Linked DNA regions of Drosophila melanogaster. The protein of the gene in region 2 interacts with the protein of the main gene of each other region in a pairwise test. Each region holds a gene or a part of one and is shown on either strand. Other genes may lie near its edges. The genes, in order: Pka-C3 and sws.

Evidence for each region.
Region 1: the proteins of sws (region 2) and Pka-C3 interact in a two-hybrid assay, tested with the Drosophila melanogaster proteins (one study listed by BioGRID).

What each region holds. Positions count from the first base shown.
Region 1 is NT_037436.4:15,951,550-15,956,579, forward strand, and holds the start of Pka-C3 (protein kinase, cAMP-dependent, catalytic subunit 3), read right to left. Parts: upstream 3,249-5,030; 5' UTR 3,208-3,248; coding exon 3,102-3,207; intron 3,039-3,101; coding exon 2,976-3,038; intron 1,445-2,975; exon of another isoform or gene 553-1,444; intron 1-552. Other genes in the region: GXIVsPLA2, read left to right, coding at 3,671-3,760, 3,839-3,998, 4,062-4,504. UniProt on the Drosophila melanogaster protein: Does not have an essential role in development.
Region 2 is NC_004354.4:7,965,032-7,970,222, reverse strand, and holds the start of sws (swiss cheese), read left to right. Parts: upstream 1-1,986; 5' UTR 1,987-2,681; coding exon 2,682-2,783; intron 2,784-5,191. UniProt on the Drosophila melanogaster protein: Phospholipase B that deacylates intracellular phosphatidylcholine (PtdCho), generating glycerophosphocholine (GroPtdCho). This deacylation occurs at both sn-2 and sn-1 positions of PtdCho.

The DNA.
Region 1 (5,030 bases), on a different chromosome or scaffold from region 2:
TACATTTTTGGAATTTTTTATATATTTACCATTTGTCAGTGAAGAATCTAATAATTTATCACGCTTTCTGAACTTTGAAATGTTCAAGAAAATTCAAAATATTTTACACGCCTTTTTTAATTTATATATATGTGGGATATATGGGATATATACCATTAAATCAGACATTTTAGCATTTTATTCTTATTTATATTTATCATATTTATTTTAACATTATGACGAGTTAGATCTTCCACCTCTATTTAAATGTTTAAAGACGCATTAATCTACGAATCTAACGAACTTAATGACTGCATTAGCAAGATCTCAAAGTATCTAAAAAACCCACACTTTCCAACTTCCACTTCCACTCCAAATATCAAGATTTAGCCCGCCATGTGAGGTGTAATTTGCTAATTGTACTAATTAAATCGGCTCGCCTAATTATAGTACTCAAAGCTTAATCATCAAACGAATTTATCTCCACATTTTGTTTCTATTTTGGAAAGCAAGCATTTATGATTTGTTGCTGGCTGCTGGCTTCCACTTTTTACACTACCCACGATTACTCACCGAGCTAAATTTTGAGATCCAAATTTGCCGGCCGTCGTCGTTGCCTTTTGGTTTGGTTTTTGTTTTGGTTTTTGGTTTTTTTAGCCTTTTGGTTTTTGTTTTTCTTTTTTTCCTACTTAACGATCCCACAGCCGATCTATATTTATTGTTGTTGTTCAGGTTGCGATTGTCTGGTTGGTTGGTGAGTTCTGATTCTGATTTTTTGCTGGAGCAAAATTTGAACGCTTGCGAAATTGTTAAAAATAAATATGTTACTTTAAGAGCGCACGATTTTCCGCGACTAGCCGTCGATTTCGATTTTTCCTTCGCTTCTGGCCGGCAATAATAACAGAAAAAAAGGCGAAAAAACCGCTGAAGCCGACACAGAAACAGAAATAAACTCAACACTCAGCGTTTCTCGGCGGGAGGGGGTATAGGTATAGGTATTATGGGTGTTATAGGTATACGGGGGCCATAGGTATTATTTTTTGCGGATCGACTGGACACAGCGATCGCGATTTGCTTTATTTGTGTCACTTTTTTCGTGGGTTTTTCTTCGGTTTCTTTTAGTTGTTGTTGTGTGTCTAAAGGTGCCGCTTTGTTTTGTTTATATACGCTGGGATCGTGAGATCCGAGAGATCTAGAATTTCCGGTTTTTACAGCGCAACTTGCAGTTTTTCTTCGGTTTTTTGTTAGTTTCCTCCGCTGAACCAGCAGATTGCCAAATTAGTCCAACTGAGCGCAATTAATCAAACGTGATGATTGCAAACTTTGAATAGGTTTTGTTTTTTTTTTTGTTGACTAGTCTGAAGACCAATGTCAAATTTTCCAATTTTCTTTCGAATGATTTCTGAGTGTTCTGTGGTGTTTTTCTTGGGTTGACCAGCCGCTTCCACGTTTTGCACGAAACTGAAACGTAAAATCTGCGAATCGCTTGCCACAGCTCTCGACGTCGACGTCAGCGTCGCAGTTGGCAGCACAGTCGTGGTGGTTCGGAAAAGGGGGCGGCCTGGTCGGGAGGGGCGGGGCAGTGGGCAATGATGACGATGGTAATAATGATGCTTCTGCTGGCAGCCAAGGGGAGAGGGAGAGATGGCTTCGGGATGCTCGCTTGATAGTCGGATGTGTTTGTGTTTGCTCTCCATGTGTGCAGATATTTGGTTTTGGCCAAGTGTCCCGAGTGCCGTTCCATTTGAGGGCCTAAACGCTTTGGCGGCAACAGGATCATCGCCATCAGGATGGCGGAGGCGGTCCGGAATCACCGATGGCGATAAGGCGGCCAGCATGGTGTGCGCCCTAATTGACAACACCATCACGGAACTGAAAGTCTTTGCAGCGACCAAAATCTACATACATACATATATATATAATAATTAATCTAGAAGATACATACATTGACAAAAAAGTAGATATTTTGTCGCTGCGAAGACAATAATTTACATATTTTAACTGTTCTTATCATATTTTTTTTGTGTAATAACAACTTTCATTACTATCATAAATAAGAAAATGCAAAATTATATTTCTTATGAAATATCTTTTTATCTTTTAACAACGTTTAATAATAGATTTTATAGACGTTTTTATCTTACGATTTTACCTGATTATTAAATAAATATAATCCTAATGTTGGGTAGTTTTTGGATTGGTTTTTCTTTAACTGCTTTAACAGACACATTGCCTGCGAAAAGTCGGAAAATTGTAATAAATGTGGGATTTTCCCAAGTGTAGGAGTACCAGCAGACTTTTCGTCAGCAGTGAATTTTTAAATATTCCAAGAAACACTTATACCTATTTATGTTTGTGTTATTTCAACAAATATTAAGACTTTTGGTTATTATAGTAGAGATGGAAAATAATGCATACAGGATGTAATTCAGATATGAAATACATACATGATGTACATATTGTACATAAGTTAACCCTACGATTCAAGCCAGAAGTCGTTTTAAATCAAAAGGTTTATGTGTGTTTTTATGGTGGGGGTGTTTTTCCTCAGTGTCTTGTTTGTTTTCAGTAGACTTTGCGGCAGCGCCGATTCGTTGCTGAGAAAATCTAGAAAATATGTTTTGTGTATTTACGAGCCCTCTGTTTCGGTTTTAAGCAAACAGCGAGCGCGCCTCTTTAACGGTTTTCGGGTGTTGCGTTCGCATGTTTATGCACGTTGATTTCGCTGGCCGTTGTAATAAAGGCCAACAAGGTCAGGTGCAAACGAAATGCGAGTACGAGTGACGCCTGCGTGCCACAGTCTCATTTCAGGTGCCGCATACAATTGCCGTGTGCATTTCAATTTGATGTTATAATTAAGCGAAGGCAGGCACGAGATGTCAGCAAGCTTTGCGTTTACGTTTTCTGTGCGCGACTTTTTTTTCCCTATTTCACTATTTCGTTTTGAGGCTGCTTCAGTCCTGTTTGTCAAGTGCAAGGACACTGCATGCACTCACCTCTTTGAGTGGGCGTGGCAAGTCCTGCCCGCAGACCGGAAGCCGAGTCATGGTCGCCGCAGACTGTAAGGCATAAAAATGTTAGTATCCTTGCCGCACTAAGTATAATTGTGGGAAACAACTCACTTAGCTTCCAGCTGGAATACAAACCGCAGCCGAAATTTGCGAAGACACTTGCGCTGACTCTGCAAGCCACTAAAATACGTTCCAAAAATATATGCCACAAATCCATTTAAGGAAAATTTTGTTTATTCCCAATTTTTTGAATTTTCCCCCCTCGAAATATCGATGTATATGTATTGTCAGTTAAATGTTTTGAGTTGTCTGTACCAGATGGCGCCAGTGTTCTGAAATTCAATTTACTTTTATTAATGTATAGCATTAATTGTAATACTCTCTGCAAAGCCAACAAGATTTTATTTTTCATAAATTTTTTTGTTTTATAAATCATAACGTATTTTATTTATAATATTTAAAAACGGTTTTAAATTTCCCATTAGGATTTTTTGAAATGTCAGGACAGTGCCTAAAAGTATGCAACCTCATATGCAGTTTGGTATGATTTCCGAGCCGGTTGGTATATTTGAACGATGACGCCTGGTCACACTGCTACAAATGTCTTTCGCATAGTTTAGTTTATTATTACGCGCAAACAACAAATAGCTGACCCTTCAAAAACGAATTAAACAGCGAACATGCAGTTCTCTTGGATGAAGGTGGCCATATACCTTCTTACGTTCCTAACCTACGCCTATTCAGGCTATGGATCCAGCACCATAGTCCACGTAAGGTGCACCGCTTCTCGTAGGAAATCTGTGAGAGCTAGTATCTGTTACTCCTGTATCTTCTCTCCCCGGATTTAGCTAAGGGATGCCATTATAGCCGCGGAGGCGATCTTTGGTGACGTGTTCAAGAACCTGATAGTGCTGGTGCGCAAATTTCGCACGGTCCACGAGGTTTTCGATGCGGCCGTGGACGAGAACTGCATATACCAGTGCCCCGCACCGGATATCGGAGGACCAGGTGTGGTGACGCACTGCGCATTATGTAAATTCCCCAGCATCCATATGTGTGTTTATCTTACAGCGCCCAGAGCGGTTCAGAATAAGTTCTATACCCCCACCGCAGATGGATGTGGTTCCTTGGGCCTGAGGATCAGCACAGACTATCTGCCGGCCAAGGAGATGGAGACATGTTGCAATGACCACGATATCTGCTACGACACCTGCAATAGCGATAAGGAGCTGTGCGACCTGGACTTCAAGAGGTGCTTGTACAAGTACTGCGACAGCTACGAGAAGTCCATAGCCAGCGATCTGATGATGAAGGGCTGCAAGGCGGCTGCCAAGATGCTATTCACCGGCACATTGACCCTGGGATGCCGCTCCTATCTGGACTCCCAGCAGAGATCCTGCTATTGCGCCCCGCCGAAGAGCTCCTCCTACAATGGCAATAGGCAGGGTAATAGCAATAGTAGGGAGAAGCAGCAGCGCCAGAAATATGGCTGGAAGGATCGCAACGAGATATAGTACAGGATCACTGGCTACGAGGGTGCGGGGACCTGGGGGTATCGGATTAAGCGTTAAATGTTTTATGTGTTGTGTTAGTCTATGAATTGGGTAGCCATGTCCATTGGACTCCCTTTTTGACGAATTTCATTATTGTATACCAAATAGTGGCATGCCAACGGTCCAGACTGTTAAATACATTGATATTTTTACCTATTATAAAGATGCTATATTTTTAAATCAACTGTGCGCTGATTAATCACCGGTGGCTTATGCTGACGTGGTCCTTTGGGCAGGATATGTATATTATTTATTAATCATATGATCGACAAGTGTGTAAACATATTTTAACCAGGACGATGACGTATTTAATTTGTTAAGCTGCCTGGCCAAAGCTAATTTAATAGTACAAATAAATGAATGGAGATCAAACAAGAATTCTATTATATCAAAAATTTTGACTTTAAGTCAAACTTAAGTTTAAAACTAAGGTGGAACAGAAAATATCTCAATATTTTCAAGCTAAACAGTTATTTTAAGAAGCCAT
Region 2 (5,191 bases):
TTGCTTGTTTTATAGTATTAGTTTGCTGATTATTATCCTGTTTTCGCGTTTTCTATTTAGCACTCGCTCTCTCGTCTCCTTTTTGTCTGCCTTTTAGCCGGTGTTTTTTCAGTGCGTTTTCGTGTGCGTGCGTGTGTGTGCGTCTGTCGTCACACCCTTCACTTCGCCAATTCGAATTTCGAATATATATATCTCTGGGAATATCTGGAATATTTTTTGGCCAACAAATTTCTCACACTCACACAATGTAAAAAAAAGTGAAGAAAAAAACGTAAACAAATCACGGTCAGGGCGGCAATTAATTTGTAATTTCCTGCTCAAATTGGCAGAAGGCAATCGAACGCTTTGCTTTGTCCGGCTCTTTTTTTGGTATGGCAGAAAAGGATTTTCACGATTCGAGATTACTGATTGCAGGTTTTTCTAAGACGAGACGCATGCGCGCACAAAACTTTAAGTTTTACTTTTGCGAGAGAGAGGAGAGAACGACCGCTCACGAACTGCACTCCAGTGGGAATGAAACCCGTTGCGAGCGAAGTTGCGCTATTTGTATCGCCGGCCAGAGATGGCACTGTTGCCATTGCGGCGGCTTCTCACCATAGCAGCGCTCTGTTAGCACAGCCGTCTGGCTATCTTTGTAGCTTACCTAGTGAATTGGATACATGAAAAAGGAGTAGCTATATGTGCGATCCATTATTGTATAAGATGAGCATGTAAGAATTTTATTTTTAGCCTTCACAAAGGAATATCGATATCGATCGAATGGTTGACAAAATGACACACAAAGAAACATTTAGCGGGAAAAGAGCTAAGATCGCAGTGCATTCGAAACAACAGCCAGTTTGTTGTTGTTGGCTGTTGGCTAACAACAGCAGAAACAGACGTCTGCTAGCCAACAGCGCTGTTAGCTTTCGCGCGGCTTTTAAAATACGAAATCGTAACGGTCCCTGGGCAAAGGAAATGTGCATAACTTAAGTGCATTGCATATTTAATTGCAGCTGCAGCCAAAAACTGCATCCGAGACTGCAGCTGGCCACCCGAAAGACGCGTCTCGGCCGTTTTGCTTGGCTGGCAACCGAGACTCTGGTGGAGATGCTTTATGCTCTAATAACCCAAGCTGCACTTGCTTTTATTGGATGTTGCACGTTAGTTTCGGACCTCAGCTCCGATTCGGGTCCGGATTTCACCAAAATCCTTTAAATCAACACACATGAATATTAATACTGATTTTAGATTTTACAGTTGTTAATCACTGAATATTACCAGCGGCCGTCTCCGCTCTTCACGGCTCCTTGACTACCAGCAATCTTAAGCGGAGTTAATTATGCTCGCAAATTAATGTTTGACTGCATGCCAAGACATTTTCGATTCACCTGCACTGTTTTCAAATACAATTTAAGCTCTAGCAGCGCGCGCTCTGCTAAGTTTGTCGCCCCACAGCCATGTTCTTAGCTGTTGTCAACGCAGTGTCGCACTTAACATAGGGTTGTCAAGCAAGAAATAATGATAATGAAATTTAAAAAAAAAGTCAAATAAACAAGAATCTTACATTTATAAGCATATCAGCATATCACTTTTGTAAAAATTAAAATAATAATAATTTATAAGAATAAGAATATATATTATATTATTATTATTAAATATTATTATAATATTTATAAATAATAAGAATAATTTATTTATATATATTTGACTACATAACGTGCCTAACACAAATTTTAAAATTGGCTAAACGTTTTTTCTGATATGGACGCCCTAAGTATTATTTTCCAAATCAAATAATTCGGCTTGCATACACCTAAATTTTTCGAAAGGTTAACATTATTTTGAAATAACCGTTCTAAAGTCGACTTTGTATGGTCACTCTAGCGGGCTGCTCTACACAGCTGTGAAACAATCGATTTCCGGGCATATCGATGTTTTTCAATCCACCATCAAAGCGAATCGATACCAATAACAATAATTCTAGAGTGCATTTCAGTTTATTAGTTTGTAGTTACATAGCAAAATGCGCGTTTATTTCGGCTCAGTAAATTAAGAACATTTTCGTTACACGTTGCCACGCCCCCCCATCCAACGGCAAACCACCCCCCGCCTCCGCCTTCAAGACAGAGAGAGAGATAGAATAAAACAGAGAGAGAGCAACAACAACAATATATAACCAAAACGAAAGATTTCCGCAAGAAACCACAAAAAAAAACAACAATTGCTTTGGTTCTGATGATTCTCGTAACAGCAAAAACAACAAGATTTATAATCTAAATCAAAAGAAACTGTGCTCTCCGCTGTGCGTGGCTGTGAGTGCGTTTGTGCGGTACGGTGCGTGCATTATAACAATTATTGCACAAAAGGCATGACAAACGTGGGGCGGGGGTGTCTGTAAATGTGAGTGCGATAGAGCGCGACATATTCAAACAAGCTAGGGACGGAGTAGGTGAGCGAGGGAGAGAGAGAACGCGACGGTGGCAACAACAAAGGGCTGTGATTTTACTTTGCCCCCTCCACCCTGTACCCCGTCCCATCCATACACTTGCGTATTTACCAAATAAACGGAACATACATAAGCCAAAATAGGCAGAACAACAACAACATTAAGAGTCAACTAAACAGCAAATCGAATAGTTTCGTGGGAGAAAGGACAGCGTAGCAGAGTCATTGGAAAACTGGCCGCGTAAGGGAGCGCAATGGATGTCCTGGAAATGCTGCGCGCCAGCGCCAGCGGCAGCTACAACACAATATTCTCGGACGCGTGGTGCCAATATGTCTCCAAGCAGATCACAGCAACGGTAAGTGCACTTCACCCTTTCTTTGTCTTTTTATTTGCTTTGACTTTGGCTTGCTGTTTGTTTGCAATATGAGTGAGTCAGTTGGAAGACAATATGTGCGAGAGCGAGAGGACGCGAGGATTAGAAGGGCAGCTGGAAAGCTTAAAAAAAAATGCGATGCAGGATTACAGCTGTTCGGGCTTGTGTCCGTGCTTAACGCGCGGGAGAGAGAACGTGAGCGAAAAGAGAGCATGTGGATCTTACTTGAGCAGGATAACAGCTGTTTTAGGTTCATGTCCAGGCTACATATAATATAAGATTAATAAGTATTTACGTACTCACGTCACAATTCTTTTATATAATTCAAGAATTTTATTATGAATATAGCTTTTTTTTGTGACAACATCCATAAAGATTAGGTCCCCTGATAAAAATCACAGAATGAGCGATAAAGCAGACCTAAGTAGTTAAAGTAAAGTAAACAGACATTATTCAAGAAAACCCACTTGAGTATTGAGAGCAAACACCTGTTAGAAAATTCCACTGTATTTTGTATGCGATTTTTTAATGTGTAATCCCATTATCTTTATGGAAATTTTTCTAAAAAAAAATTTTTACAAAATGTTAGCTTGACGAATAAATGTCGGCCAGACATCATAGGTTAAGTACTTAGATTTATAGGTAGAAGAATCGAAATAGTCGCTGTTCCTGACTAGTTTACCATAACTTAGTTCTAGTAAACCCTATCAGCGGATTGAAGTTTAGACCCCAGCTAAAGTTTAGAACGATACAGGCTAAGGCAAGTGTGGATTTCAGGACTCTAATCTCTCTTAGAACCCAGCCAAATGATAAGAAAAGAGAAAAACCGGAAGAGAAAAGGGGAAACTTCCGTGTTTTCATTTGTCGCCACAAATCGAAATTGTTTTGTGGCCTTACATAAAACAAAACGAATGAAAAACAAAAACCACTGACTACAGTAGCCACATGATAACACCACACGACCATAGTATTGATAATGACACCCAGGCGACCCCGAAGCAAGCAAAAAAAAAAAAAGAAAAACTAAACCACCCGAGCTGATAACTATGATAACCGATTGCTAATCAGAAGCACGTGCAATCGTGGGCGGGGGGTGCGTACGAAATCAGTTTTCAATAATTCAATTAACCCCTTGGGGCCAAATCAATTTAGCCGCCTTGTGACTGCGCGAATTTTATCATTATCGTGTTGTTATGCGAGTGTGTGTATGTGTGTGCTGTCCGATTAGATCAAAGCAAATCCAATTGGATAAGTGCGTGTGTGGCGCAGCTTCGGCTTCCAATTAGACCGACTGAGTCAATTGGTATTTATGGCATTTTTTCTTGTACATTTTGCAAACCTGTTGTAAAAATAAACTGTAAACAAACAATAATTGCTGGGGGTAATAAAAGACAAACAGTAAGGTGCACAGTGAGAAAGAAAATGTGCAACTTATAGATTAAAAAAAAATGTTTATTTCTATCGAAAGAAATCGAAACTACGCCACTATAATTAACGTTTAATGAAGTGCGAGAAAACGCTACATTTTTCGCGCTGTGTAGTATCAAATGCGGAAACTGCAGACAATAACAAATGGGTAGCAGCAACAACAAATTGCCCGAGAAACTACTGCCACAACAAAAACAGCAAATGCAACAACAACAACCGCATCGAACAAGAACAACTCACTCAGAACCGCTAGCAACAAACAATAAAACAAACATACATACATACATACATACATATGTATGTGCAGCGACGTTGCGTCGCCGTTTCAATGTCAAAGTGCCGAGTGCAACAACAAGATTTAGGGAAAATAACAACAAAACACAGCTGATGCACTTGATTACACGGGCGTGACACTTGCTTTTGGGAAATTCCAAGTGTCTTCGTGCTAAATAATTCATCCTAAATAACTGGGCGACGTGGAAAATACGAAATGAAAATCATATTGGAGACGACATCAAAAACCCTTATATCCTTTCGTTTCAATGTCATAAGCTGAAGAAGAATGGGAAACTAATTAACCAATTAATTAATAATTAAGAAACGTGATTTAGCAAAGGAGTTGGCACATTAGTACAAGAATTCACATTTTTTTGTTTTGCATTTCAGCAAAAGTGAAAAACCATATAGAATCAAAAGCATATTATATCATAGTTAGATTACCCTTTCATTTTACTTCAAAAACACTTTCAAACACTTCAAACACTTTTAGTTCAATTTTAGATCAAGAATAACAAAAAAAAAAAAAAAAAACATTTTCTTATATATATATATAGATTTTCTTTATATTAGCCTTTAATAGCTCTATTAAGAATGTTAAGTTTGGAACCAGCTCGATATGACATCGATTTCAACTTCCGAGGAAATCAGACAGTTTTCACGTGGTTGCAGCAAAGAGTTCTACC